4 linked regions of the Rhinolophus ferrumequinum genome follow. The protein of the gene in region 1 interacts with the protein of each later gene in a biochemical or structural test. Links are inferred from orthologs where the notes say so. Each region holds a gene or a part of one and is shown in the gene's direction. Other genes may lie near its edges.

What was found.
Region 2: the proteins of BCL2 (region 1) and PMAIP1 interact in a biophysical measurement, tested with the Homo sapiens proteins (2 studies listed by BioGRID and IntAct, with this or other methods). The link is inferred for Rhinolophus ferrumequinum from reciprocal best matches to the Homo sapiens genes BCL2 and PMAIP1.
Region 3: the proteins of BCL2 (region 1) and NR4A1 form a complex in vitro, tested with the Homo sapiens proteins (2 studies listed by BioGRID). The link is inferred for Rhinolophus ferrumequinum from reciprocal best matches to the Homo sapiens genes BCL2 and NR4A1.
Region 4: the proteins of BCL2 (region 1) and FKBP8 form a complex in vitro, tested with the Homo sapiens proteins (4 studies listed by BioGRID, with this or other methods). The link is inferred for Rhinolophus ferrumequinum from reciprocal best matches to the Homo sapiens genes BCL2 and FKBP8.

Annotation. Positions count from the first base shown.
Region 1 is NC_046302.1:50,485,056-50,492,305, reverse strand, and holds the start of BCL2 (apoptosis regulator Bcl-2), read left to right. Parts: upstream 1-4,246; 5' UTR 4,247-4,396; intron 4,397-4,652; exon of another isoform or gene 4,653-5,242; 5' UTR 5,243-5,392; intron 5,393-5,612; 5' UTR 5,613-5,897; coding exon 5,898-6,461; intron 6,462-7,250. UniProt on the Homo sapiens protein: Suppresses apoptosis in a variety of cell systems including factor-dependent lymphohematopoietic and neural cells. Regulates cell death by controlling the mitochondrial membrane permeability. Appears to function in a feedback loop system with caspases.
Region 2 is NC_046302.1:48,151,046-48,158,558, forward strand, and holds the start of PMAIP1 (phorbol-12-myristate-13-acetate-induced protein 1), read left to right. Parts: upstream 1-4,503; 5' UTR 4,504-4,692; coding exon 4,693-4,750; intron 4,751-7,513. UniProt on the Homo sapiens protein: Promotes activation of caspases and apoptosis. Promotes mitochondrial membrane changes and efflux of apoptogenic proteins from the mitochondria. Contributes to p53/TP53-dependent apoptosis after radiation exposure. Promotes proteasomal degradation of MCL1.
Region 3 is NC_046293.1:52,243,569-52,250,878, forward strand, and holds the start of NR4A1 (nuclear receptor subfamily 4 group A member 1), read left to right. Parts: upstream 1-4,298; 5' UTR 4,299-4,484; intron 4,485-7,310. UniProt on the Homo sapiens protein: Orphan nuclear receptor. Binds the NGFI-B response element (NBRE) 5'-AAAGGTCA-3'. Binds 9-cis-retinoic acid outside of its ligand-binding (NR LBD) domain.
Region 4 is NC_046301.1:51,275,681-51,282,778, reverse strand, and holds the start of FKBP8 (peptidyl-prolyl cis-trans isomerase FKBP8), read left to right. Parts: upstream 1-4,078; 5' UTR 4,079-4,194; intron 4,195-5,677; 5' UTR 5,678-5,702; coding exon 5,703-6,000; intron 6,001-7,098. UniProt on the Homo sapiens protein: Constitutively inactive PPiase, which becomes active when bound to calmodulin and calcium. Seems to act as a chaperone for BCL2, targets it to the mitochondria and modulates its phosphorylation state.

The DNA of each region.
Region 1 (7,250 bases):
TTGGGTGCACTTCAGGGAGACAAACAGATATGCAAAGGCAAAAGTCATGAGAGAGCTTGGCATATTCCAGACAGCACACAAAGCTAATGAAGATGCGAGAAGGGAAAGTGGAAGGGCACCCAGGTGGTAGGCTTGGGCCACATCATGCTGTGCAAAAGGAGTTGAGATTTTAGCCTGTGTAGAACTTTGAATGGAAACATGAAATGGCCAGATTTCAGTTTTCGAAAGATTATGGTTCCCCTTGAAATTTAGGGGTTGCTGAGTCCTTGGGCCCTGGAATAAACAATCCTCATTTATTCGAGAGATACCATACTGTGTTTCCCTGAAATAAGACTGGATCTTATATTAAGTTTTGTTCCAAAAGTTGCATTAGGGTTTATGTTCAGAGGATGTCATCCTGAAAAATCATGCTAGGGTTTATTTTCTGGTTAGGTCTTATTTTCGGGGAAACACAGTATTAGATACATACTGTTATGGGTTCAGTTGTGTGCCCTCAAAAGATGTTAACATCTTAACCCCCAGTTCTTGTGAATGTGGCCTTATTCAGAAATAGGATCTTTACTAAAATAAGTAAGTGAAGATGAGGTTATTAGGATCCTAATCCAATATGACTGGTGACCTTATAATAGAAAACAGACACACTGGGAGGCCATGTGACAACAGACGCGGAGATCAGAGTGATGGAGCTGCAAGCCAAGGAACAACAAGGATGGACAGCCACCACCAGAAGCCGGAAGAGGCCAGGAAAGTTTTTTCTCTGGAGCCTTCAGAGGGCCCATGACTCCACTGACACCTTGATTTTGGGCTTTAAGCCTCCAGAACTGTGGGAGAATAAAGTTCTGTTTTAAGTCACCCAGTTTGTGGTATTTTGTTATGCCAGTCCTAGGAAACAAACATATTAACCTTGATTTTTCTAAATGTGTTCGTCAGGAATTAACATCTGGGAGATACTGCGCTGTGTGCTAAATAGCATTATGAGAATAAAAGTTAGTTTTTGCACATTAAGAATGTAAATGCTTTGTCAATTACCCCCTTAGTACTATGGTGTTTCATGTTGTTTGGTTTTATTACTGCAGTTTCGATCCAACGACAGCAGTAGGCGTTTGAAAAATATAAGTTCCTACTCTTATTTCACTTCAAAAGCCAAGTCGTTAATTTGAAAGGAAAAAATTGCCACAAGTGAATTGCTGGCACTTTCCTTTGTAAACCAAAAGTAAACATTATTTGCCCACTGTTAAACTTGCACAAGGAATGATTTATCTGCTTTTCATTGCCTACTTTCAAAGGTTGTTGCTTAATTATTCTAAATATTTTTTGAGGTTTAAGACCCATCATAAATTAGTCAGGTGGGTTTCTCTGTTAAACCAAAGCTTGTTGGTTTAGATTTGGCAAGGGTTTCCCGATGATGCCAAGGATAGTTTCGGGGCGCGCAGCAGATGACTCCCTTGTGATCACTCTTACAGAAGAAAGGCTCTAGAGCATAAGTGAATCAGAAACAGTGTTACTGTTCATATCAATATTAGTAACTAATTAGTAACATTATTATATAATGTTTGCCAACAAAGTATACAAACCCTCTGAGAGTGTGGTACTACTTAGCATAGAGTTTATAATGTATAAGATTTATGCCAATTATATCTCAATAAAGCTGGAACTAATTGAGAAGATAGATATTTGAAATTGGAAATCAGTGTTTTGGATTTTTTATCTAGGTGTGTGAGATGTTATTTTTTAAGTAGTTCATTTTTCTTATTTTATGAAAACGATATAGACTACTTGTTTCTCTCCAGTCAGTTTGTTTTGTTTATGGATTTATTTCCACTTCAGTGTACCTAAATTGTTCGGGTCATGTTTTATATTTTTAACTCTTTCATCTTACCGATTAGGTGTCCACTCCCTTTCAGTTAATGATGACTTTCCTCATTTTAAATAAAAAATTTAATAGTTGGGAAGATTTAATACATACCTATAATAAACACTAGTACATCCAGATTAGAATAATGTTCTTTTTGAATTTCATAAACTTTGGAAATATTTATATTGGTAATGGATGAAGAGAGCCTTCTGAATGATACTGTTAAACATTAACCAGTAGGTGGCGAAAACTGGCAATAAAAAGCTTTTTGTTTGGTAGACTGGAGAATAAAGAGGGAAAACACAGGCCTCCTAGAATCTACCCTCCTAGAATCCAGCCAGGCAGGCAAAGCTGGCAAACGGGTCGTCCATTGGCTCTTAAAAGTGGAAGACATTTTGGGAAATGAAAAGCCCACAGAGCAACATTTGCAGTTGTTGGAAGGTCTCCGTCACAGATCTAGGATTCAAACCCAGGACTCCTGATAGCCCTGTGCTCTGTCACCACCTCACCAATGCCCAGACACAAAGAGTTAATTCACACACTTCTGAGGAAAACACTTGACCTCACTCTTTAAAGTGGAATCTAATAAACATGGAATCTGAATGAAGGGTTTCATTCCTTCCATTGAAAGAGTATCCAGAACCTTCCCAGGGAATATAAACCCTAGCTAAGGACTGTAATGCAGACCTATCCTAAGAATGGTTATGCTCAAGATGCCACATAAGGAATCAGTCTGGGGACATTTGTAAAGTGTGGCTCTAGGGAGCAAAGGAGAGGGAGAAACAAGGAAGCTTTTCTTTCCCTGGGAATGGCGGTATGTTTCGTTCCGGCTGTCCCCTTTGCAGAAGTACAGTCTCTTTTCCAGCTCTGTCCTTTCATTTCCTCACTCAAATGCTGGGTCTCAGAAGCACTAAGGCTTTCAATTCCTCTTAAATCATTTTGGGGGTTTAAGACACGGTTCTGAGAAGATCCTTAAACCAGAATGCTGTGGCATTAGGCGGGTTTCTACTATTTCTGTGGGAATATGTATCTCAGGTCAATCTATACCCAGTGTCTATCTGCAGGCCAGAACACCTCTCCGCCACTGCCGTTGGTAAAGGGGGACTCTGTCACAGCCAACAGAAGACAGAATGGAGCGTCTTCCTTTACTCCCTCTTGCCTAAATGCAAAGTTTAGACCACACACCCATTCCTACATGCAAGAGGTTGGCATGGGGGCTGATTGGGTATGAAAGATGAAGAAAGGGGAATAATTTGCTGTGCTTTTTTTGCTTAGGAATAAATGCTTTGATTTTAGACTAGGAATGAGGCAAAATAGTGTCAGACAGTATATCTGTATATAGTGCAGTGCTCATTTGTCATATTTCTAAGACCACAATTATCCAGTGTCCCTATATATTTGTACTTGAGCCCTATTAAGCAAGCTGCTGTGCTTGTAGTAAACATTTTTTCTCGGGGCTTTATATGTCAAAGACTCTGAGGGATAAAAATAGTTAACGTGCAATTTGATTGTGCTCTTGTGCTTTTCTCCTGGGGCTACCAATGCTGATGAATTAAAAAATGTGTTCTTGTGTGTACATGTGTGTGAAATTGTGTGTATGTGTGTGTGTGTGTGTACAACTGAGAAGGTGTGGCCATCTAGGATTGGCTGCTAGGCGACTGTGGAGGCCTTTAGAGACCCACCCACCCTGGTGTTGGGACTGTGGGCCTAAAGTCGCCCCGTGGACCTCCGCAGCGGACAGTCCTAACTCTGTACCAGGAGCAGAGAAAAAACATTGACAGAACCATTTCAAAGCCCTTGATATCCCCCACTCGCCCCTCCACCGGCCCGCTGAGAGCTCTCTCTGGCCTTGGTCACGGATGGTGTCCCAGAATGTGTTCCGCGTGGACACCTAGGAGGCAACTTTAAAGTAAACAAGACGCTTGGGGCTTCCCTGGCTAATGAATGTGCAGCGTCGCCTCTCTTTACGGGAGGGCAGCGCTGAGGTCCCTGTGCTCGGGTCAGCATCGGCCTCGGTCGTCTCTCAGGCGGCGGCCAAGCGCTGGTAACACGATGTACACACACACGGCTAGAAAGGATCGCAGTTTTTTTTTTTTGTTTTTTTTTCCCGGCGCCCTCCCTGCGCACCCACCCGCCGCCAACCCGGGCGCGTCCCATTTCCCGGGCACCCCCGGCCCCTCGCCGGCCCCCGAGCGCGCGCCCAGCCCGCCGCAGGCCCGAGGAGGCCCCGCGCACACCCACCGCGCCGCGGCCGCGCGGGAGGCCTGCGCCACCCGCGCCACCCACCGGCCAGGCGGGCGGAGCGGCCCGGGAGGGCGGGGGCCGTGCTAGGCGCGCCCTCCCCGGCCGCGGCCCTGCGCGCCATGTGTTCCCTTCCCGGCGCGCCGCTCCCGGCCCGGCAGCGGCTCCTTTAACCCGGGAAGGAGAGCGGGGCGGAGGGGCGGTGGGGCCGCTCAGAGGAGGGCTCTTTCTTTCTTCTTTTTTTTGAATGAACAGTGTGACGTACGTACAGGAAACCAGTCGATTCGAACGGAGAATGAAGTAAGAGGCCAGGCCCCCCCGCCCGCCCCCTTCCTCCCCGCCCCCTCCCCCGCCCGCCGCCCTCCTGCCCGCCCTCCCGCCGCTCTCGGTTTCCCCTTGGAACCGTCGCCGCTGCCAGCGAAGGTGCCGGGCGCCGGGCCCTCCCCACCGGCACGGCCGTCATCGCCGGGAGCGGGTGCGCGGCGGGAGCGCCGGAGACGGCCGCCGCCAGCGCCGCCGCGCAGGAGCAGGAGGAGGAGAAAGGGTGCGCAGCCCGGAGGCGGGGTGCGCCGGTGGGGTGCAGCGGAAGAGGGGGTCCAGGGGGGAGAACTTCGTAGCAGTCATCCTTTTTAGGAAAAGAGGGAAAAAATAAAACCCTCCCCCACCACCTCCTTCTCCCCACCCCTCGCCGCACCACACACAGCGCGGGCTCCTCGCGCTCGGCACCGGCGGGCCAGGCGCGTCCTGCCTTCATTTATCAAGCAGCTTTTCGGAAAAATGCATTTGCCGTTCGGAGTTTAATCAGAAGAGGATTCCTGCCCCCGTGCCCGGCGCGTCCACCGGGCCCCCAGTCCCCGTGTCTCTCCCGGGGAGGCGTGGAGCGGTCCCGCGGATAGGGGTCCATGTCTGTGCCCGCGCGTGTGTGCGCGCGTGTAAATTGCCGAGAGGGGGGAAATCACAAGACTGCAAATACTGGACTGAAAATTGTAATTCATCTGCTGCCGCCGCCGCTGCCTTTTTTTTTCTTTTTTTTTTTTTTCTCGTGCTGGAGATCTCCGGTTGGGATTCCTGCGGATTGACATTTCTGTGAAGAAGTCTGGGAATCAATCTGGAAATTCTCCTAATTTTTACCACCCTCCTCCGCAGCCCCCTCCAACTCCTGATTCATTTGGAAGTTTTAAAGCAGCTATAACCGGAGAGTTCTGAAGATCGATGGACTCTTTGCCTTATGCATTTGTTTTGTTTTCACAAAAAAGGATACTTGACAGAAGATCATGTTGTCCTTAAAAAATACAAGTAAGTTCTTTGCACAGGAAATTGGTTTAATGTAACTTTCAATAGAAACATTTGCGATTTTGTCTTTAAGTGCATTCGAGTAAGTTTAATTTCCGGCCAGTTTAATACATTCTTTTTAGCCGTGTAACTTGTAGTGTGTATGCTCTGCTTTCACCCAGTGTATACAGGAAAATGCACCTGATCTGGACTTATCAGTTTTGTTTTTTTTTTAACCTTTCAGGATCACGAAGGAAGTAGATTGATATTGACAATAAGTAATAATAATGTGCCTCATGAAATAAAGATCCGAAAGGAATTTAAATAAAAATTTCCTGCGTCTCATGCCAAGAGGGAAACACCAGAATCAAGTGTTCCGCGTGACTGACGACACCCCCTCATCCAAGAATGCAAAGCACATCCAATAAAATAGCTGGATTATAACTATTCTTCTTTCCTTCGGGGCCGTGGGGCGGGAGAGGCGGCGAGAGGTGCTGTTGGTACCCGGCTGCTTTTCCTCGAGGGAAGGATGGCGCACGCTGGGAGAACAGGGTATGATAACCGGGAGATAGTGATGAAGTACATCCACTATAAGCTGTCGCAGAGGGGCTACGAGTGGGATGCCGGAGACGCGGGCGCCGCGTCCTCGGGGGCAACCCCCGCGCCGGGCATCTTCTCCTCCCAGCCCGAGCGCACCCCGGCGCCCGCCAGGACCTCGCCGCCGCCGCCGCTGGCTGCCCCCGCTGCCGCCGCAGGGCCTGCGCTCAGCCCCGTGCCACCTGTGGTCCACCTGACCCTGCGCCAGGCCGGCGATGACTTCTCCCGTCGCTACCGCCGCGACTTCGCCGAGATGTCCAGCCAGCTGCATCTGACGCCCTTCACCGCGAGGGGACGCTTTGCTACGGTGGTGGAGGAGCTTTTCAGGGACGGGGTGAACTGGGGGAGGATTGTGGCCTTCTTTGAGTTCGGTGGGGTCATGTGTGTGGAGAGCGTCAACCGGGAGATGTCGCCCCTGGTGGACAACATCGCCCTGTGGATGACCGAGTACCTGAACCGGCACCTGCACACCTGGATCCAGGATAACGGAGGCTGGGTAGGTGCATGTCTGGTTGGATGTGAGTCTGGGCTTCGCGTCTCTGGTCAGGGATGCGGTGGTTGCAGTGTGCGCGTGTGTTCCTGGGCCAAGGGCAGGCTGATGAGCCAGTGACGTAAATCAGGTGTGGTGCTTCCCACCTCTCCCCCTGCAAAGAGCTCTCCCTGCCAACCACACTGTGATCATTCCTTCCTGCCCAAAGTGTTTTCCTTGCTTGTCAGCTGTTGAGGTTCCAAGATCCAGCATTTGCTGTACAGTGAAATCTTGGGATAAATGGTTATCCCTTCAGGGTTTCTCAAACTGGGGGTCCAAGGGTCCCCAGCATCACAGTTTACCTGGCTGGAGTCGGTTATTGAATTCGGGGATTTCAGGGACTACTCATGAACCAGACCCCAGGTTGGGTCCTGGCAATCAGCATCCTAAACAAACTCCCCTGGGGGTTTCTTCTTTGTATTAAAATTTGGGAACCACCCAATTACAAGAACACACTGCACCAGAAAACCTCGGGCGTGCCTTTTCTGACACCCACCTGGTAAAAATCTACCCAAAGCAGAAAACCAGTGTAGCCCCTTTCCCTGGAAAGCATAGCTGTGTTTGTAAAGAGGTAAGTTGACTTTCCAGAAGTCTGGGGACTCCAGCCGGAGTGTGTGCCACATTCCAGTGGGCATCACCGAGTATCTTGCACTGGACGTTGTCTCACCACGAACAGAATTTGCATCGGCTGTGTGCTTTGTGTTCCACTTCTGTAACTGGTGTACGATTTTACAGTTTACTGGAATTTTAGTATCT
Region 2 (7,513 bases), about 2.3 Mb from region 1:
ACTTCGAATGTGCAGGGTATACATATCTTCTAAACCTGTTCCCTCAGGAGTCATCTTATTTCTTACATTATCTATACTGCTTTTGAGCTTTATTTCAGGCTGCTTAAATCCATTGTCAAGTTTACTAAGGGAATTTTGGTTTCTAAAATGTGCAAATTACAGGGATAGCCAGTTATTTCAGTTGGTTAGAGCATGGTGCTAATAACACCAAGGTTGTTGTTTCGATCCCCGCATGGGCCACTGTGAGCTGCCCGCTCCTTAAAAAAAAAAGAAAAAAAAAGTACAAATTACAAATAGGAGGAAAGGTTTATACGAGTACATAGAACTTTTTAAAAAAGGCAATTGGTAAAGGGAGACGTTATAGATTGAGATGAGTCCCCCCAAAAATATGTTGAAGTCCTAATTCCCCACTATCCCCCACCTGCCAACCTATGAATGTGACCTTATTTGGAAGTAGGGTCTTTGCAGATGTAATCAAGTCAAAATGAGGTCCTATGGGATTGGTGGGGGCCCTAATGCAATGACTGATGTCCTTATAAGAAGAGGTAAATTTGAACACAGACACAAAGAGGGGAAGGTCATGTAAAGACCAGGACAGACATTGGAGGGATACATCTGGAAGTCAAGTGTTGCAGGAACTGCCACAAATTGGAATTGGCAAAGGAGGATTCTTCCCCTGGAGCCCTCAGAGAGAGCATGACACCTTGAGGCTGACACCTCAAGGCTGACACCTTGATTTCAGCCTCCCAGCCTCCAGAACGGTGCAAGAATAACTTTCCATTGTTTTAAAACACCCAGTTTGTGGTGCTTTGTGATGGCAGCTCCAGAAAACTAATATAGGTGAAGATGTCAATTATATTTATGCTGAAAAATATCAAGTCTTGCTCTAATAGAAGGGGGTCCTCTCCCAGTCAGGAAATATGGGAATTTTAATAAGACCGGTTAAAACAGTGAGTTTGCTGACACTACCATCAGGTATGAGAATTCCAGCAGGATCTTCACTAGTCACACTGTCTCCAGTCTCAGCTCAACTAATCTAGTCACACTGCAGCCAGAGTGAGCTCTCCAGAATCTGATCATATCGCCCACCTCCTTAAAACCTTCAGTGGTTCCCCCCGCCCTCACTGCTTCCACAATAATACCCAAATTCCTCAGGCAGCTTCTCTCCCCATTTACTTCTCACCATTTCCCACTGCTCTTCACTCTCCGCAGGGAACACACTTCTTCCCTTCAGCCTCATTGCTTGGCCAACTCCTATTTATGCCTCAGGTGTCTATGTAGACGCCCTTTCTTGCTTAATTGACCTCCCATGGTCTGCCATCATTTCTCTGGCCCAGCTCTAGGCACATCTTGTTGTACCTGCCTGTGTGGTTACCTGTATCAGCCTCTAGCCTTGTCCATAGACCAGAAGCTTCAGCATCACCAGTATGTTTAAGAAGCAGTATGTTAAGACCAGCTAGATCTCCAGAATCAGAAGTGAACTTTAACAAGGCAGTCTTTCGCACCATGCTTTTGTAAGGTATTGCTCTTTTCAACACAGGTTCCATGGGGGCTAGAAAGCACTTTCTCCCCGGAGCCTAACCCAGTGTCTGTCTTAAAGAAAGATTTAACCAATTAATGCATCAGGGTGACTTCGTGTTAACAAACATGCTCTACAGGAAAAAACAAACAAGTCCCCTTTTACAGGAATAAACAGACTTAGGTTTACAGCCTATACATATATATCTTCACTGGCTTCCTTTAAATTTCCCCCTTATTCATCGCTCATATCTTCTTGTCTTCCTGTTAAATCCTATTTTCCACATGAGCTATATGAATGACTATTCTATTATTAATCATGTTTGCTGTTTTGTTTTCCAGTATTTTTTTTTTTAACATGGGAAGTGACAACACAAGCATGACCAGATTTGCATTGTCATTGTTGAACTTGGTCCATGAAAACTTATATCTGGTAGTAGTAGTAGTTTAAAAAAATTGTTGCTCTCACCAGTCCTAAAAACAACAACAACAACAACAAAAACATAATAGGGGATTTTAATGCTTCATGAGAAAATTTTATTTTATCAGTACCAGTGGTCAAAATATCTCCATATTTATATTTCGTGCAAGTTCTCATTAAATGATACATCACTTTTCCAGAGACATACTGGGGGTGCCAAAAAATGTGTACAAGTGGACACTTTGGTCAGCGTTGCTCAAGCAGTAGTTCGCCATAATCAGAAGTGTTGGGACACTGATGGTAACCACTTTGAGCACCTCTTGTAATTGCAGAAGTCAAATGTGACATGTATTCATCTTTGGTTATCGGTATATATTGAGTATTACAATTTTAGTACAGTTTTCCTTTCTTAAAATGTGTATCCATTTTTTGGGCACCCTCTGTGGATAGTTAAGAAAGGTTTTTCACATTCAGCTTCGATTTCCCTTAATAGAATGTTGGGTCTGAAAAAGACTGTGAGGCGTCTCAAACTCATCTTAAAAAGTCCTCCATAAATGGCTGATTTTGACCCCTCTCTGAAGCCCACCTCCCCCCACTTGCTCCTTCCTTTTCTTTCGAATTTGCAATTCTCTAAAAGACACAGCTTGCCTAGGTTTGTGTGGACCACGTGACCAACAAGCTTTTATAATGCTAAGATGACAGGACCGGATCAACACGCCCTTTGTAGGTAAACAATGACATAATTTGTTTTTCTTTTGTTGAATGTTGTCATTGCCTTTCAGCGTCCATGATTGTCTCAGAAGTTTACTAATTTATCCTATCAGAAAGTTAATGATGTTCCTTAAGAGTGAGGTTTATCAGAATAAGCCTCGAGGAGAGCCGCAGTGGTTTTGGGCTCTCCAGCAGCTCCGCAGGGCTTTCTTTGCCACTGGTAGAAAACTCCCGAATTCTCTTAATCCCAAAGTGTTTACCACACTCAAAACGAAGTTGTTTAAACTCAAATCGCAGTTTTGTTCCAGGCTTCCAGTGTTGTCTATGCTTCTGCTGGACCAAGCCAAAATAAATAGTCGAAGATTTGTGTTGATTGAATGATTTCAGGTAAATAAACAAGCTCAACTGCCTACTGGGGCCAGATAATGTAAATGAGAAAACAAACAGCAGGGAGTGTGGCTGACAGGGGCTCCAGCTCCCTAAGGGAAGAAGCACGTTTGGAAAACGGATCGCAGGTTTGTCTGAGTTTCCAAAGGACGCCAGAAATCCAGGGTTTTAATTCAGTCTCTCAATTTTAAATGTTGGTAACCAATGCAAATGTTCACAAGACATTTTGCAGACCAATCCTGTGAGCCAAACATTTCTACTAGGAAGCCACGCAACTCTAAGCAGCCAATTTGCAACCTCTGCATGAAATAGCGGGGCTAACAAGCAGCATACATTTTCTCAGAAACTGATCGCCGGAAGGCTGCAGTGGACAACAGCTCTGGCTCCCTGTGGGCCTGCCTGGGTTCAGATCCTGGCACTGCTCTCTGCCTCCGTGAGCTTGAATAATTCACTTCACCTCGGTAAACCTCAGTTTTGCACCTGTAAATTGCGCAACACCGCTATGGTAAAAACGCCCGTTTCTTGGCGTTGTTTTGAGGACAGGAGAAAATGCCCGCTTAAAAGCCTGAGCGTGCAGCGGCCCTCAATACCTGTTAACCAACCCGAATTACTTCTTTTCATAATAATGGAATTAGTCAAGGGCCAGCCACACATTGTGCAAATTAACTTCGTATTCCCAGGTAGCTCATTCCTCCCTCCACAAAAGCATTTGAAAGTTTTCTGTAGGATAAAGCACTTTTTTTTTTAGGTTACTTAGCATCCGGAATGAGCAACATCGACCTCTCCAGAGAGGAAGCCCCCTGTCTACAAATACACACACACACACACACACACACACACACACCCTTCCTTCCAAATCAAAACAGTGTTTCAATTTGTAGCTAACTTCCCAAGTGTCAATCTGGTACTTTATTTACTCCCATGGCCTCTGGCATCATGCCTTCTGTTATTAAACTTCTCTTCATTGCACTTTCCTGAAACTCCCCACGTTCTCCGAGTGTAAAAAACTTGCCTTTCCAAACTTTTTGGGGGCTTTGTTTACAGAAGTCTATAATTGCCCATTTATGATAAGGACGAAGTTCCCGGCCTCTCCAGCCCCGGCTTGCCTGCTAGGAACACCTTCCTCCACGCCGGACTCCTGGACCCCGCCACCACTGCAGCGGACTCCACCTCAGGTCCCTCGGCCCCACCCCCTCCTCCCTCACCCCGTCTGTGACAGAAGTGATTTCGGGACTGGGCAAGGTCTCGCCCGCCGAGCGCCCTGCACCTCCCGCCGGGGGTCGGCGCCGCCGCGGGTCGGGAACGTGTTCGCGAGGTCGCGCGAGGTGGCGCGGGGTTCCCACACCCCCCTAGGCCAGGCGCGCGCACCCCGGGCCACTGCCGCTCGCTGGGGCGGGGAAAGGGGCGGGCCTGGCGTCTAGTTTCGCTACGTCATCGGGAAGTCCCTGTAAAACGTGAGCGTGGGCTCTTGCTTCTCCCCAGAACCCGAGGTTCTCGGCTACCCACTGAGTGCCGTCTCCAGCCGGCTCCCATCAGGTCCAGCCCGCCCGCCTGGCGCGCAGCTCGCGTCCTGTAGACCCCAGGGTGCAACCCAAGGTTGGGGGACTGAGTTCCCCGGAGGTCTGCAACAGACTTCCCGCCGGCTGCTCGCGGAGATGCCTGGAAAGAAGGCGCGTAAGAACGCGCAGCCGAGCCCCACGCGGGCCCCGGCAGGTAGGGACCAGATGGGGTCCGCGGCGATCCTGGCCGGGGTGGGGGCCGGGGCCGGGGTCGAGATCTCAGTTTGGGTGGGGTCAGTCAGTCTGCTCTGGGCCTCAAGGTCCGGCGGGGTCTGCGTCCTTGCACGTGTTGTAAGGGCGCCTCCTGGAAGTTCTTCAGGGGTTTTACCTAGGACTGTGGAGACGGCGAGGGAGGGAGCCCGGTCTGGGATTGGGATGCAGCTGCATTTTAGCGGATGCAAAAAATCTCCTCTACGCGCGCCTTGTGTCCCTACTTGCCCTGCCGCAGGGCCACCGGTGGGGGGAAAGTGCAAGTGCGAGCGTCGGCTACGAGGAAAAGTCATTATCCCAGCAGGTGGGGAAGGGAGAAGCTCCGGGAGCCGCCTGGCCTCCCAGCACTTCCTAAGGCAGGGCCTCACCCTTCCGAGTCCTGGGGCGTCGTGGGCCGTCGAAGGCCCTGCTCCGAGCCTTAGCACTCGCTTCACCCCCAAACAAAAGCAGTGAGGACGCTTGATAACAGCTCTTCCACAACCGGCTGAAGAGTGGTGGAGGCCGCAAAGAGACCATTGCGTTCGGGGGCCCAGAAAGTCTTGCTTCTTTGTTAAGAGTACATTGTATAACATTTGAAACAATCGATATTAGTTGCGGAGTAGGGATAAAGAGCAGGAGTTGGTCCCCAGTTTTTAAGATCCTTCCATTCCTCCCCTGCCCCCACCGTAGCACCATCAAATAACTTAAGGTCAGCTCCTACCCCACCCCCACCCCTCCACCCCCCGCGCCCTTTTTATAAATCTTATCAAACAAGGCAGTCATCTGTTAAGGGGCAGTAGGAAAAAAGGCAGCAAAGCTTTGGCCTCAAAAATCCGTGTGGGCCATACTGCTATTACATCAGCTAGTAATAGGCCCCCTTTTTAACTTAGTTTCATTTTATAGAGCTCTTGGGACTTGCAAAGGAAGTGGTGCATTGGCAATTTGGCCATGGCTAAGTTGGCACCAGACTGCTCTCTCTGGCTCTTGCTTGGGAGGGAAAAATTTTTCTAAAATCTTTTGTGATGTCCAATAGTCCTGACCATGTTTTGGAAAGGTCTAAACTTGTGCGTAACCTTTACCCAGCCAATTTACTTAGTTCCCAAGAACAAGGAAGAGTAGAAAGGTCCCTCTTAAACTTAATTAGATAGTACTATATGTAAAAGTTGAGATACAAGTGACATATAGCATTGTATTAATTTTAGGGGTACAACATAATGATTTGATATGTGTGTGTATTGTGAAATAATTACCACAGTAAGTTAACATCCGTGACCACACATAGTTACAATTTTTAAAGTACATTTATACATGTGTAACTAACAAAAAGATTAAGGAAACAAATAGGGGCTATTTTCTGCCTTTTTTGGGGGGGGTGAGTGCGAGGGGTAATTTTTCCTCTTATAATTCAGGGCTTCCAAAATTGTATGCAGCGTAAATTTTTTTTAAGGATGGTAGGTTAATATATCCCACTTACTGCAAAGAACATGACTGTAAATACCTCTCAAAATGTTTGACTTGTATCCTATAAAGAATGGCACCTTATGATATTCATTAGGTCTCTTGTTAGAGATTATGAAAATTTCACCCTGCTCTTGTAACGAGAGAATTTTAAAATACACTTTATTATAAATTTACAGCTTTTCATTTTGAGCCTAAATAGGGTCTTTGCAGGGTGTGTTTACAAAATAAAACCAGATTTCAATTTGTAGTCATAATGACTTTTTTTTCCCCTTCCGCCTCCCCCACCCGCCTTCAAGCGGTTGTTTCTCAGTCTGGTTGTATAGGACACAGTTCCCTGGCCCATGCTGGTATCATGAGCCTCGTGCTCCCCCAGGCTGAGGCAGTCAGTCCCCGTAGGTTGGCAGCTCAAGGGGGCTCTTGCTGGCTGCCAGCCTTTCATGCTGCTCATGCTGGCCACCGGGGGCACAAAAGCAGCCCAGCTCTAGGGAGAGCCGTTATTCACAATATTAGCTGTAGAGGGCGCAGCTCACTGGCCCATGTGGGAATCCAACTGGCGATCTAGGCATTAGGAGCGCGGCGCTCCCACCACCTGAGCCACCGGGCTGGCCCATCATAATAACTTTTAATGTTCGTGGTCATGATCTTGAAGTGGACCAAAAGACCCTGAGTCGCTCATTGAAATATCCACAAAATTGAAATTATGGTCAGTATAGATTTGGTGTTAATTTCACTTGCTTAAAAAATTTACTTGGAAATTAGATGATAAGCAATATTTTTCTTAAATTAATATCCAGTTGATTACAGTATCTCCATCCTAAAAAAGTAGTAAATGTGTGAAGTAAATATTACTTATTTTCTGCTTCAGTTGTCTCCGTGAAGGCAGTGGATTGATAGAGGTTGGGTTTGGAGGAAGAATTTGGTTTAGAGTAAAATTTAAACTTCTAAATTATTTTAGAGAATGTGGGGTTAATTTTAGAATATGGTTTTATAAGTCTTTTATGAGAAATTTTTAGAGGTTTTTTAAGTGAGGAAAAGAATACCTTTAGATTTGCCTATAAATGAGGGCATAATTTGAGCTATGTGTTATGGCCATTTAAAAAATAAGTCCTATTGGAAAACAACACTGAAGATTTTAGAATTTGACTTCAGTTCCCCAACCAACCTTAAATGAGATAAAAAAGGATGACATCACCTGAGGCTGCCAAAGTCTCACTGACACGGACTCTGTGGTAATTGACATCTGTTCTGCTGTGTTTGACATATTCCG
Region 3 (7,310 bases), on another chromosome or scaffold:
ATCCCTCTTTTTCCGCATCCCAGGGCGCCCCCATCCTTGCAGAGTCGTTTATTTGCGTACACCAGACCCAAAGGAAGCAACGCCGACATGGCTGATTTGCATACTCTCGTGCTATTGGTTGGAAGGGCGGCCAATGGTTTGCAGCGGTGTTTGCCCCGCCGCCGCTCTGCACCTCCGGGTGACGTAATGGAAACCTGGCTGGACCCCGCGCGGGCTCCCTTCGGTCAGCCTCTTGACGTAGCGGCTTCCCCAGGCCCCAGCCGGCCCAGCCCGGCCTGGTGCGGGCCAGCGTGGCCACCCCCGGGAGGGCGGCGTGGGCCACTACCGAGGCCATGTCCCTCCAGCGGTGCCCGGCCCTGTTCCTTCCGGCCCAGCGTTCCGGTCCCGGCCCCTTGGGGAGGGCCCACCGCGCCAGATCGGATCTCTGGCGGCAAGGAGAGAAATCTGGAAGCAGACACCAGAGAATTACCAAATTCGGCTCCTCTGGGAGTGGATTACCGGCCTCTCAGTTCGTAAATCACGCGGTTCTGTAACGTTTTGCGTTTGTTTACAACGAGCTTGTTTGACTTTGTAGTTAAAAAAAAAAAGTTACAGAGGATTTCTGTTATTAAAGAGCCTGGCTTGGATTTAGGGTAATCTTGGCATTAATTGCAGCTCTGTCACTTCCAATCTGGTGACTTTGACCACTTTTTCGTTCTGGCCCTGAAGGCCTTCCACGACAACCAGGGAAGAGCAAATGTGGAGGCACTTCAAAAAGAAAAAGCCCCCAGCTGTGCCTTCTCATCCTCGTGTAATTCAGAGCATGTAACCCCATCCAGGTGGAGTCCCTGGAAGGCCCCAATTCCTGGGAAAGCCCCAGGAAGGCCTTGTCCCCCATTTTCTGTGCCCTTTAATTGCTCCTAAGTCTGGGGAGGGGTTGGGGGACCCCAGCCAGGTATTTCTTAATCCTCAAGATGGGGAAGGGAACCTCAAAGGGAATCCCTTCCATTGCCCCTCTCCTCATTCAGGGCAGGGCATAAGTAGGGGAGCCCCTTCAGAGCTCAAATGGGCTGGGGAACCCCGTTGACATCCTTTGACCATGCTCCCACTGGTTCAGGGTGGAGGTGAGGTGGAATGATGTCTCCCTAACTGCATGAAGTTAGATCAAGGGTTTCTGTTTTTGTGACATGGAGGGGCATGAGGAAGAACACTAAGGGTCTGGCTGATTGTCCTGGGGCTTAACCACAAGCTGGATCTCAACCCTGCCCCCATCTCATCCCTATGAGCTTTGAGGTCAGCCTTTCTCCTCCATGTGATGCTCTCCCTTCTCTCTGCCTTTCCTGGTCCTGTCTGTACCTTCATATTATGCCCTGTGTTCTCTTCTTCCAGGGAGCCTCTGAGATTAACTATCCAGATTCCACCCCAATGTCAGCTCGAGGCCTCTTGGAGGCTGCCTCTTGGATCTTCTAGCAATGTTTTCATGACTGTTCTTGTGTCCTGCCTGCCATCAGATTAGGAACCAGCTTTCTGTGGCAAGAACTTGTCCTCTCTTAGGAATTTTCCAGAATGTGAGACAGCCCTGGCCAGGATGTCTGTTTTCCCCTCTAGTCCTAGCTCCTGAGCCATGCAAGTAGTTGACCTTTTCTCTCCTCAGTTTTCCCATCTGCACTAGGGGCTGTGTGGTAATTCCTGGAATTTGTGTAGAAAGAGGAGGGGCTAAAGTGTGAAGGAACAAGATCGTGGGTAAAAACTAGACCACTGGTCTGGGTGTCAGAAGTCCTGGGCTGTGATTCTGGCTGGACCACTGACTAGCTGAGTGACTTGGGTCGAGAAGACAACAAGGGAGTTAAAATTTACCATACAGCTGTAATAACACTAAGACATGACATTGCCCCCATCATCTGTGCAGCTCCTCAAGCCCCCAAATAATGACACCAGCTGGGCAAAGCCAGGTGAGTGCTTTGCATGTGTAGCTTCCAGACAAGTTCCCCAGCTCAGCCATCTCCCAAGTCCTCCTGTATGGAAATGGTAGGTCTGCTAGTATGTGCCAGACTCCTTGCTGCATTCTTTATCTCTACCATCAAAGATTCACTCTTCATGACAACCCTGTGAGATGGTATGTTATCCTCCTGTGTTTCAAATGAAAAAACAGAAGCACAGAGAAGGTGAGTAACTTCCCTGAAGTCACACAGTTGGTAACAGTGGAACCAGGGTCAATCCCAGGCCTCTTGGGCCTGTGATCCTTCTACCACCTCACACCGCCGTCATGAGTCACACAGGTGTGTTTTAGCATTACATATTTTAAGAAATATTTTATTTGATTATAAAACATGAGAGTATAAAATGAAGCCAAGTTGTGCTAAAGTATTTATAGAAGAGAGAGACCTCTGTGGGCTGGAAGCCTTTGTGGAAAAACTGGTAACTGAGCCTTTTAAAAAAATCCTTCCTATCCAAATAAATGTATTTCTCCTACACAGGCAAATATTTTTAAAATGTATTTCAAAAGTTAGATTTCTGGAAAAAGAAAAAGTGGGGGTAGTGGCTTCTTTAAAAAGCCCATTTGGAAGAAACTCTTGGGACAGGAAGGAGAGGATGGTGACAGGGGAGGAAAAAGCCAGTCCATGGCTCCGCCCCAGTGCCATTTTTGAAGCCTCAATTTCTTTATCTCTATTTTGGCCCCGTCCTTGAATCTGGAAGAGAAAAATGAGGGTCCTGAGAGGTGACTTTGAGACAAACCAGAGATTCTTGGGATTATTATGAAGAACGAGAGAAAGGGGCTTCTGAGTTGCCCCAAGAGTTTAGGATGGATCCAAAAAAAAGGATTTCTGGGGGTGGGGACAGGAATTTGGTCCCTGGAATGAGCGCTGAGTTGGGTGGTGAGGCCTCATTTTGAGAGTTTTGAATGCAGAGATTCTGTGCTGCGTGGGGCCTGCTGGATTAACTGGCATACTCTTAATGTAAGGTGGCTCCCACAGGGAGCAGGCGCTGGTGGCTGGTGTAACAGAGCACAGGACTGGGTCCTGCCGAATGGGTGTTCCCCACTGGCCCTGCCTGCCTAGCAGTATAGGGGCAGACATGGTAACCCCAACCCCACCCAGCCCCACTGCTCCAGCCTTGGCCAGGCCTTCCTGAACTATCCACTGCTAAATGGGTGGTTGCTGGGGAAAAAGGATTTGCTCAGAACAAGATGGTTCTCCCATTTCCAAAGAGTGTTCCAATTAGGTGGCAGAGAGAAACCTTCCGAGCACTGCCATCCCCAGAAGGTTCTTACTGGGGAAGCCTGTGCTTGGAGACTATGTTCAAAAGAGGATGAGCCACTCAGGGCTTCCTGGCCACTGGGGTGAGCCTTTGGGTATTTCTTGCACTACGCGCGCTGTCGGATTGGGGAAGTCAGACTCCAAGAGGAGACCAGGGAGGAGAAAGTGTGAGTGTCTACTGTGTACAAGGCACCTCCACAGCTGTTCCATTCTCCCGAAAACCAGAAAAGATGGGTCATATTATCATCCCCATTTTATAGGTATGGAAACTGAGGCTCAGAGTGGTGAAGTGACTTGCCCTAGGTCAGACAGTAGTATAGGAACACCCAGATCTGTGAATCCAACACCCAGGCCTTGTCCCCTTCTGCACTCCCACCTCTGGGAGTGCTTCTCTTCAGGAGAAATTTCACTCCCCCAAGAAGTCCTCTTCTCTGAGACCTGCTGGCTGATTTTCCTGGGTCCTGGGGTCTAACCACTCCGTGGGCACCGTACTAGTTGGGTTCCTTGCCCTCGGGGTGGCATGCAGGCCAAGAGATGCTGTGGGGGGTGCCCAGGGCTCAGAGGCCTGTTCTCTCAGCCTAATTGCTGTGTGACTTTGGGCTGCTGCAGAGCCTCTCTGGGCCTCACATTTTCCACCTCTTTTTCAGGGGAAGCCCCGGGTAAATTTATAACAGCTCCAGGTTTGCTGTCTCGGAAGGTGTTAGCAAGGCCACAGAACCCTCACCTGAAAAACAGCACCCCAGCCCAGCCGCAGCGGGGCGGATTATGTAACCAGGCGCTCTGCGCGTGTGTTGGGGGTGTGGGGGGGGCGCAGGGCGTGGCGCTCACAGTTATTCCGGGCGCCGCTATTTTTAGCCCCATTGATGAGGCTGCGTCGGCCGCCGCCGCCGGGATTCCGGAGACGTCAATGGGTGCACGTCACGGTCCCTGCCCGCCCGCCTGCCGGGGGAGGCGCGCCCCGAGCTGGGACAGAGGCGCGGGCGCCCGCGGGCCGCGGGGGCGGGGGGCGCGGCCGCAGCCGGAACTGCTAGGTGGGGGGCTTCCCCCGGGCGAGGGGCGCGGCGGCGCGGCGGCTCGGCTGCGGGAGCGTGAGGCGGCTGCAGCGGAACTGGTGGGGGTCCCGCGCGGCGCCCGCGACCCCAGGCCTCCAGGCATGGTCGCCTCTGAGGTGCGGAGCGGCTCCCCCGCCGGCTGGTGCGCTAGCTGGGAAGGCGGGGGTGGAGAGGCGAGCCACGTTCGCCCGGCCAGGTGAGCGGGTCGGGGGGGGCGGGGAGAGGTGGTCCCGCAGAGGTCCGGGAACAAGAGGATCTTGCGGTTGCACTGGGATGGGCCGGGGCCACGCCGGGAGTCCTGCTTCGAAGCCGGACAGCGTGGGGGAAGGGACTGGATTCCCAGCGGAACCTGCTACCTCGGAGTCAGCCCCCAAGAACGGCGGCCAATGCTTTCTCTAACCAGCCCGCCAAGGGTGGGGTTTGGCCCGCGAGGGGCGTTGGAGGTGTCTAGGCCGGAGAAATTCCTTCCATTTCCCTGCCGGCTGCGGGGAACGGGTTCCAGGAGTTGGGGAGCGTGGCTGCCAGGACGCCGAGCCGCGAGGCATCAGGATTGCCCGGTGCAGTCCTTTCATGGGACTGAGTTGAGAAACCGAGGCCGAGAAGGGTCTCATGGAGTCAGGAGCCGACCTGAAATTAGAAATGCTGAGGAGGTGGCATTTACAGTCCTTTACAGTGAAGTATCAGTTTGGGTTTGGGGCTACTATTTAAGGGCATGCTGGGAAAACGAAGGCTGGGCATAGGTCGGTGGGTTCACAACAGTTCTGCCCAAAGGATGAAGGAAGACTTAAAAGGGAAGCCAGCTGAATCTTTGTAGTGACCTAGAGCTGAAAGGAGTGACAAGTGTACAGTAGGATAAAAATCAAGATTCCAAATGATGGCAACTGGGCAGAAGGATGGACCAAGACTAACAAGATGAATGTGACTGATTATAAATGTTGAGGCCTGTGCTGGAGTTAAGAAAATTAGCTCAGGAGTTCAGGCCTAGAGCCTGGTTCAGAGGCCCAGCAACCCAGGCCTGGGAGCGTCCCACTTGTTCTCTGGTGTTGGCTGTCAAACTGCTCTGTGCAATCTGAGACCTCTATCCACTAATCAGGTCCAAGGGGGAAAGCAGAATGCGTGGCCCTGGGCTCCCTGGTTGGGCTCCCTGGGTTCTAATCCCAGCTTTGCCACTTCTAGCTGTGTGACCTTGGGCAAGGTGCTTAACATTTCTGTGCCTTAATTTCCTCATTGGTGAAGTGTTCATAATAATAATAATGATAATAATAATAATAATAATAATAATAATAATAACAGTCCCTTCCTCATAGTGTTGTGAGGCTGAAATAAGAAAATGCATGTAAAGTGCTTAATGATGTATCTAGCCCATGGCGTTCAACATGTATTTCCTGTTGTTATCCTTTGTTATATTAAAATGCCCATTTCTGGTTGGAGACTTTGGCCAATGCAGATCTTTTGCCTAGGAGGCCACCAGGGCTGCATAGGGTCTGTCAGTCATGTCCTGTTGCAAGGGGGAGTTTAGTTAAGAAAAGACACAGTTATTTTAGGAAAGAAAAGGGTTTTGGGTGGGCCCATGCAGAGCTGGGACTTAGGGCTGGGGGCTCTTGGGGGTCAGGGTTTTGACTCAGCATAGGGAAGAGCCCTCAGACTTTTAATCTGTCCCCAAATGCAAGGGACAGCTCCTTAGCTGCAATATCCTTCCAAGCTCCCAGCTCAGTTCTAATGCAGGCATGCATGAGTCCTCCTCCTTTTCCATCATTCCACGAATACTTATTAAGTACCTACTAGCGTCAAGCTGTTTTAGAGACTGAAGACTACATCGATCGAGAGAGACAGGTGAACAAATGAGCAGCAGTAGTCCTATGGGGATAACAAAAACAGGTTAATGTGGTGGGGTAGGGTAGAGGCGCTCCAAGGAAATGAGAATGGAAACCTGATTGATGAGGAGGAGATAGCTATACAGACATCCAGGGCAGTGATTTCCTAGCAGAGGGAACAGCCAGTGCAAGGGCCCTGAGTGGGGAAAGAAAAGCCCATATGGCTGGAGCACAGTGAGGAAGAGGGAGCAGGAGGTAGGTACTGATGTCTGGCCTGATGCCGCCACCCCATTTGGAGAGCATCACTTTCTCCTCCTCCGGGCCCACTTAGACTTTGCCATTGATCTTGATTGATTCCCCAGTGTAACCTCCTGGGACCCAGGGATCTTGGTTTGCTGCTTCTTGGGTCTCCCACTAGTCATGGCTAACTGCCCGTCTCACAGGAGGCCCCCGGGAAATGCTTGTAGAATGACTGTAGAGGAGGAGATTTTGATCTAGGACAGGATATGGGATCAGGTACCTGCTCTAAGATGTTAGGAATCACTTTCTTGGCACCACTGGGTCCCTGACTCTGGCTCCTGTTCTCAGACACAGGTGGGGATGACCTGGGCACTCAGGTTGGGCCTGACTGGTAGAAGGGGGGTGAAGGCCTGACATCAGACCCGTTCTGGAGTATGGGGAGATGACCGTCATTCTGGGAGGCAGGTGTAGCCTGTTGGCTAGGGCACGTGTGCGGCCTGATTTTGCCTTCTCTTTGGGGTTGGAAGCCCCCCAGATGTTCCAGATTGCTCTCCCCTCCTTCCCTCCTGTGGCCTTCAGTCCCTGCTCCCAGTATACCCACAGGAACAAAGGGGTGCGGGTCGTTCTGTATGAGGAGAATCTGTGTAACGTGGGCCGGAGGAGTTCCCCTTATCTGTGTAGCTTGGGGCAGAGGTCAGGAGGGCAAGGAATCCCATCACCCATCCTTTGGGGCCCTCTTCCTTCTTACTCCCTCTGCCTCCCATCGTGGAAACATCTACTTCTCTTTTCCCAGGCCTCATCACTGCCCGAATGGCAGCCTGATGACCAGAGAATGCCAACACTTGGCTGCGCCTGTCCTCACTCTGGGGCCCAGTCGAGAGAGGAGAAGGCTGCATAAAGGTGGGAAAAGGGAAGGAGAGATGTGGGGTCTGTGGTGCCTTTGCTGAAGGGGGCTTTGGCACCAGTGG
Region 4 (7,098 bases), on another chromosome or scaffold:
CATGAGAATTTTATTCTGTTATTTATCTTGCTGCCCCTTTAAGTGAATCACCTACGTTCTTTAATATGTCTTCCATCTTTCTCTAAGAAAGTAAGAAAGTAAGTACTTTCTTACTTTTGGCACAAGATTTTCCATGTTTGCTTTGGCATATCCTTGGAATCAGCAGTTTCTCCAAGGACACTGGTTCCTGTTCTTGGAGAATGGTATTTAAAAACCAAGGTCTGGGTGCTGGGTGTGCTCATTGCTTAACCACGCTCTCAGCTGTCAGAGTTAGCAAATACATAGTATGTCTACTAACCTATGCATACACACATCTATATTTACTCCTACATCTGTCACCTTGGCTATATACTGAAAACCATAAACAAAACGGGGCAATTACAAAATAGTAATTGCTTAATAAATATTAGCAATTCATTATCATTAGTTATGGAGGTCTTATAATGTGTGTATGTTATACGTCTAATTTTTCTGGGTCTCAGTTTGTTAACTGTGAGCCTGGGTGATCACCACAGTTGCCTTTTAAGGTTCTTGAAAGCTTGGGAGATAAACACATACCATGCTCTGGGGCACATGAAAGACTCTTTAAGAGCTCTGGAATTGGATATATCTGAGTTCTAATTCCAGTTCTGTCACATCTTAGCTGGATGGCTTTGGGCAAGTGGCTTAACCTTATGAAATCAGGCAGGTGAGTTCTTTACACGTCTTGGCCCACTGTAAGCCCTTGGTAAACTGTATTATTACCCGCATGTTTTGCTGCCTTAATTCACTGAAAAGTTAATACAGACCAGGACTCTTAAACACTTAGTTCAAAAGTCTAAAAAACTTGTCAGTAACCCTCTAGCCACCCCCTCTGGATTTGGCCCATATTCTGGGAATCCAGAGAGTACTCAGTCCCTGCCTAGCCCTGAAGGATGGAGGGAGACAGAGTCTGACTCAGACACTCCCAACCCTGAGTGGAACACTGCTGGGTTAGAGGGAGGAGAGACTCAAAGCTGGAGGAACCTTAAGAGTGGGGGTATGAGAACTCCTTTTAAGGGCAAAGAAGAAAGTATGTCTGGATGGGGTTTTGAGGTAGGATTAGGAGTTTTCTAGGTGCTGACTTTCATTCAAGGCTGAGGGAATCACAGGAGCAAAGACAGGGTGGTGGGAAAACATTTAGTCTGGACTTGATCTTTTTAAGAACTGTAGAGCTCAGTGAGCCAGGTAGCAGCCAGTGCTGAGAGGGGAGCACTGGTGGGGGCTGCTGGGGAAAGTGGAACCATGACTCTGTCTGCAGGCTGCAGCAGAAGAGGCCCAGGCTGAAGAAATCAAGCTTTTCAATGGGTCCCTTGGGCTCTGTTAGAGGCCAGGAAACATTTACGAGGGTCCCGGAAGAGGTGGGGGCTGCACATTGAGGCCAAAAGGGACTTGGCTGGCCCCAAATGTTTTGTGCACAGTGGAGTAGAGACAAGAAAAATATTTTCCTCCTTTGTGTGTTTGAGGGAGAGGGTGGGAAATGATGTGACTGCTCAGTTGCCCCAGTGATGGGGACATTGGTGGTGGGGGAGGCCTAAGTCTGGGCACTGGAAACCTTTCTCTGCCACTTTTTCCAATTTTATTTCTTACATAGCATTCATCATAGCTGCAGTTAGATACTTATCTGCATTATTGTTTATGCAGTATCCAGCTCCCTGGCTGGAATAGAAGCTCAATGGGGTAAGATACCAGGCCCACTGTGCCCTTCATCACTGTGACCTTGAACAAGTTAATTAACTTCTCTGTGCCTCAATTTCCCCATCTGCAGAATAAGGATAATAAGAGTCTTACCAAAATACATACATCGAATTCTAAAGAAGGCAAGAGAGAGAAAAGGAGCATAGAGAAGGTATTACAGAGAAAAAACACGAGAGGGCAGATTTAAGTCCAAATATGTGTGTAATTACATTAAATGTGGAGACCAAATGCCCCAATTAAAAGATAAAGATGGGCAGGATGGATCAAAAAACAAAACCTGATTCTATTCTGCTTACAAGAGGCACATATACAACATAAGGGTACCGAAAGGTGGAAGATAAGGGGTGGAAAAGAATGGAAACTTTAAAAGATAAACCAAGAGAATAGGTGTGCAATCTTAATATCAAAGTCCACTCAAAAGCCAGAAGCATGGAGATAAAGAGGGGCATGTCACAACAATCACAAGTTCTGTTCACCAGGAAGATGTAACGATTGCAACTCTGTACGTAGCCAATGATGTGGATTCCAAATATCAGAGTATTTGTCTCATAAGGCTGATGGGAGGATTAAATACACAGTTTTTGCCTACACCTGTGACACCGGAGTCTCAGCTGTCACCGTGTTTCCCTGAAAAGACCTAGCTGGACAATCAGCTCTAATGCGTCTTTTGGAGCAAAATTTAGTGTAAGATTCGGTCTTATTTTACTATAAGACCCAGTCTTATGTAATATAAGATATATAATATATAATACTATACTATACTATAATGTAATACTGGGTCTTACGTAATATTATATAAGACCGGAGCTTATATTAATTTTTGCTCCAAAAGACGCATTAGAACTGATGGTCCGGCTAGGTCTTATTTTCGGGGAAACACGATATTATTGTTATAATTGTTGATGTTATTAGTTTATATTTATTTTAGTTGTTTATGTATAGTATCTTTTATTACAATTCCTCTAGCCCATGAAAGAGGTAAGGCTGAATGGGTGCAGATAAAGACATTGAAGATCAGAGATGAACAGGTAATAGTCCAAGTCCCTCAGAACTGGGATTGACCCAGGGTTTGATATTCTTCCTAGGCAATTCCTCATATATCCTCACTGCTTTCCCATTTGTTTTGGCTGATGAGCCTGCTTCCTTCCTTCCACAATGATTTCCCCAAGTCCTCCCACCCTCCACCTTTTGTGCTCTGCACTGTGCAGGCCTCAGGACTGAAACAGTGAGAAACAACGGACCCGTTACAGACTTTGAGGGTCTCCTAGACTAGTGGGCAGAGGTAAGGCAAGTAATGGCACGGATAAAAGTCAGTGAGTTATGAAGTGGAGGTTCATGGGTCTAGGAACAGCCAATTGGGGCACCTGGCCTTGCCTTGGGGAGGTCTGGGAGGTCTTCCTGTAGGAGATGACCTCCGAGCACTGATCTAACAAGTTAGTTCCCTCCAAAAACTAGTTACCTCCTCCAGTGTTAGCTACCTCCAAAGCCAGTTTCATTCATTTATTCAATTATTAGTTCATTTACTGAACTCCCATAGGTGCTAGGCATCATTCAAGGAGGTGTGTGTGTGGGGAACAAATCAAGCAAAATTCCTTTTAGGTAGGAGCAGAGTTGGGAAGAAAGGAGAAGAAGCAAAAGAACAAACAAGATTATTCTGGATGGTGGTAACTGCTGGAAAAAAAATAGAGCCAGGGAAGAATAATTGCCCCTCCTTTCAAAACAAGATCCATAATAACCCATCTAATCGAGGCAGCCACCTTCTCCAGGGACCATGGGCACTTTATCACTCTCTGGCACAAGGTACAGGGAGGAGTAACTACCCCCAGCGGCCCTGCTCGCTCAGTAGCTCACCTAGCCATTATTGAGCTCCTCCTGTATGCGTCAGGCAAGTTCCCGGAGATTAGACAGACCACACAGGGGAGAAGGGGTACCGTGTGCCCTTAGGCGCCTCAGGTCCTCATCCATAACTAGCTAGGGCTTCAAGGTAGATTATCCAGCAGCTCCAGAGCCGCCCTGACCGTCAGGCCTGATCTCCTTAAAGAAATACCATTTAGTACTGTCCTCCCAACAGCCCCCAAGGGGAGAGTGCGTTGATTGGGGTGTTCATCCCCATTTCGCAGATGGGCAGGAAAAAGCTTACACGGGAGCGGTGAGTCGCACCAGCGGTGAGGCGCTGACTCGTAAACAGACTGATCCAGGGACACCTCCACCCCGCCCCCGCCCCCGCCCCCGCTCCGGTAGAGCAGCAGCCTCTACCCCTTTAAGAACACCCCGCGGATACAAGCAGGAAGGGGGCGGTGCCTGCGCTGGAGACGGATGTATGCGTAGACCAATGAGCGCTGCAGTCTCGGCGGCGGCGGCCAATCGACATGGTGGGGGCGGGGCCTGGAGCCCGAGCCTAGTTCCCGAGGCGCGACGGCTGCGTCTGGGGGCGGGGAGGGGGGCGCAGGACCCCAGGCGGGGGTCCCGGAGCCGGAGGCACGTGTCCAGGGGCGTCGACTGGGCTGCGCCGGCCGGGGGCGCTGCTCGGGCCTAGGACGGTCCGGGGGCCGGCGCGGCCGGGCTGCGACCGATGGGCGGGGCGAAGGGCCGCGGGGGAGGCGAGCGGGGGGCCGCTGGGGGTCGGAGTGCCCGAGGGGGCGCGGCCCGGCGGAGACGGCGGGGGGGGGGTTTTGGGGGGAGCCGAAGGGAGCTAGGGGGTTGTCGCTGGTAGAGACGTGCAGGGCCGGGGGCGCTCGAGGGGTGCGGGGGGTAGGGGCCCTAGACTGGTGGCGTCAAACAGGCGTGGGACTTTGGGGGCCTGGGTTGGGGGATTGACGGAGGGCCAGGCCCAGGCCGGGGGCGTTTGGAGGGCGTAGGGTGTTACGAGATCGGGAGGGGGTCGTCCGTCATCGGGGTGTTTACCCGGCGACTGAGCGGCTGTGGGGGCAGCTGGCCTAGGCTGGGGGCGGTGGTTGGGGGAGGGGGGAGGGCTATTTGTGCGGGCGCAGGGGATTATGGGGGTGGGGGCTAGGTGGGTCTCAGAAAAAGGGGCCCGAGCCCGGAAGGAGCAGGCAAGTGAGGGTTAGGGAGGGAATAGGGGATGCTGTGCGTTAGAATGACGGCTCTGCCTACCTCCTCCTCCACCCGCCGCTTTCCCAAGCTTGGGGTCTGGGGAAGGGGGGCAGTCTTTGGTGGCCCAAGGAAGAGGCTGTAGAATGCGGTGGGAATATCCATCATTCCTGTAAAGAAGCCTACTTTGGGAGGGTCGTCAGGAAGACCGAGGAGAGGATAAAGGGCTCCCAGAGAAGGGTTTGGGCCAGGATTTCTGGTGTGGTGAGGGGGTGGGGCCGCGGGTGTGTGTGTGTGTGTGTGTGGGGTGGGGTGGGGGGTGATGGTTTAGGTTCAGCGTTTTGGAAGGAAAAGGCTTGGGATTTCTGGGTGGTGGGAAGTTAGCATGGGACTCTCCTTAGGGGAAGGGGCAGGTGGAGGTGGGGAGCCCTGGTAAAATTTAATTCCCTTAAACTCTAAAAATAGCCTCTCGAGTACGTCAGGGACTGTCCCCTAAAACTCAGCACCTCCTCTGGGAATTTAATCAGATAAAGCCCTGGGTTCAAATCCTGCCTCTGAGTTGGCTTGCTCTGTGACCTTGGGCAAATGGCTTTGCCCCTCTGGGCCTCGATTTCCTTTTCTGCAAAATATGGGGGGGATGTTTCCTACTCCCTGTAGTGTTTATGAAGATTAAATATTAGCTCTAATAATAGTTAGTGCTGTTCGAGCCTGATGCCCTGGGCTTGATCCTTGGGTCTTTAAATCCTCTGGACAAACCAGGGTTGTTGCTCAACCCTTTGTACAGATGAGGAAACAGGCCTGGAGCCCCTGAATCACATAGCAAATGATCCACAGTGCAGAGAGCGGATACATAGGAGGATTTGAGGGGCCGAGTGGGATTTTCACAAATCCCATGCATTCCCCCTCCCAGGGCCAGTTCCCGTCCCCCCAACAGCATGGCGTCCTGTGCTGAGCCCTCTGCTTCGGGCCCTGAGCCCGCTGCCCGGCCGCCTGCTGGGGTACCACCACTTGAGGACTTCGAAGTGCTGGATGGGGTAGAAGATGCAGAGGGTGAGGAGGAAGAAGAGGAGGAAGAGGAAGAGGACCTGAGTGAGCTGCCGCCACTGGAGGATGTGGGGCAGCCCTCACTGGAGGAGACCGAGCAGCCGGGGGCCCTGGCACGAGAGTTCCTGGCTGCCATGGAGCCCGAGCCTGAGCCTGTCCCGGCTCCGGACGAGTGGCTGGACATCCTGGGTAAGGAGCAGGGGTGGCTCGGGTTGACCCACAGGACCCGCTTCTCCAGTTCAGGAGTGACCTTGGCCCAGGCATTCTCCCCTGAGCCTCATTTCCCCATCTCTGACGTGAAGTAGGTTGGAAGTAAAACATGTAGTAACCACGGTGATCACCAGCCACAGGCAAGTGCTCGAGACATTTCATGTGTATGAACCTCTTTCATTATCACATACACAGCAGCTCAGGGAGGCTGAGTCACTCGTCCAGGGCTACACAGCCAGCACACCAGGCGCTGGCAGCTCCCAACCTCCATTGTTTGTTTTCTTGGCATTTGTCTGACAGGTACCCGTCCCCTGGAAAATGTGTCCTGAGATCGCATAAGTCTGGGGGACATCCCAATTTATCCATTCCTCTGTCTGGTTCATAGTATTCATTAGCATTCTAATTGCTCAGAGAAAGAAACTAGTAGAGAAACTAGTTTTCTACAGGAAAGTACCTAGGAGAACACACACAGGTGTTGCCACTATGAATCTACCTCACAGCAACTCTGGAAACTATACAAATATATTGCTACTAGTACTGATACGCAATATGCTGAATAATACTAGTTCTCTGTGAATAAGGAGTAAAACATCATCATTGCTACTACCATTTGTACTGATACTAAAGCAATAGTATCAAATAATACTGATTCTGATAAACCAGGAGTTATTAATGTCACTTCCATTGCTAATAAAAATGTTAACTACTTCTAAAAATAACACCAGGTAACATTGACTGCCCACTAGTTCTGTGCCAGGCCTGTGCACCATCTTACCTTATCCTCACAACAACCCCGTGACGTAATTTGTACTGTACTCCTGTTTTACAGATGGGGAAACAGGCTCAGAGAGGTAAGGGCACTTGCCCACGGTCAGACAGCCTCCTCGGCTATACTGGGAAGCTTTTCTCTATTGATAGTAGGAGCTGCCCTGCTCCATGTCTGAGCAGGAGGCTGGCTTTGTCCATTTATATTCAGAGCCAGTCACATTCTGAGGTCAGAATTCAGGGTTCTAGACAAGGAAACTAAAGCCTTGAGAGGAGATGTGATTTGCCCGGAGTCCCCCCATGAGACTCTGC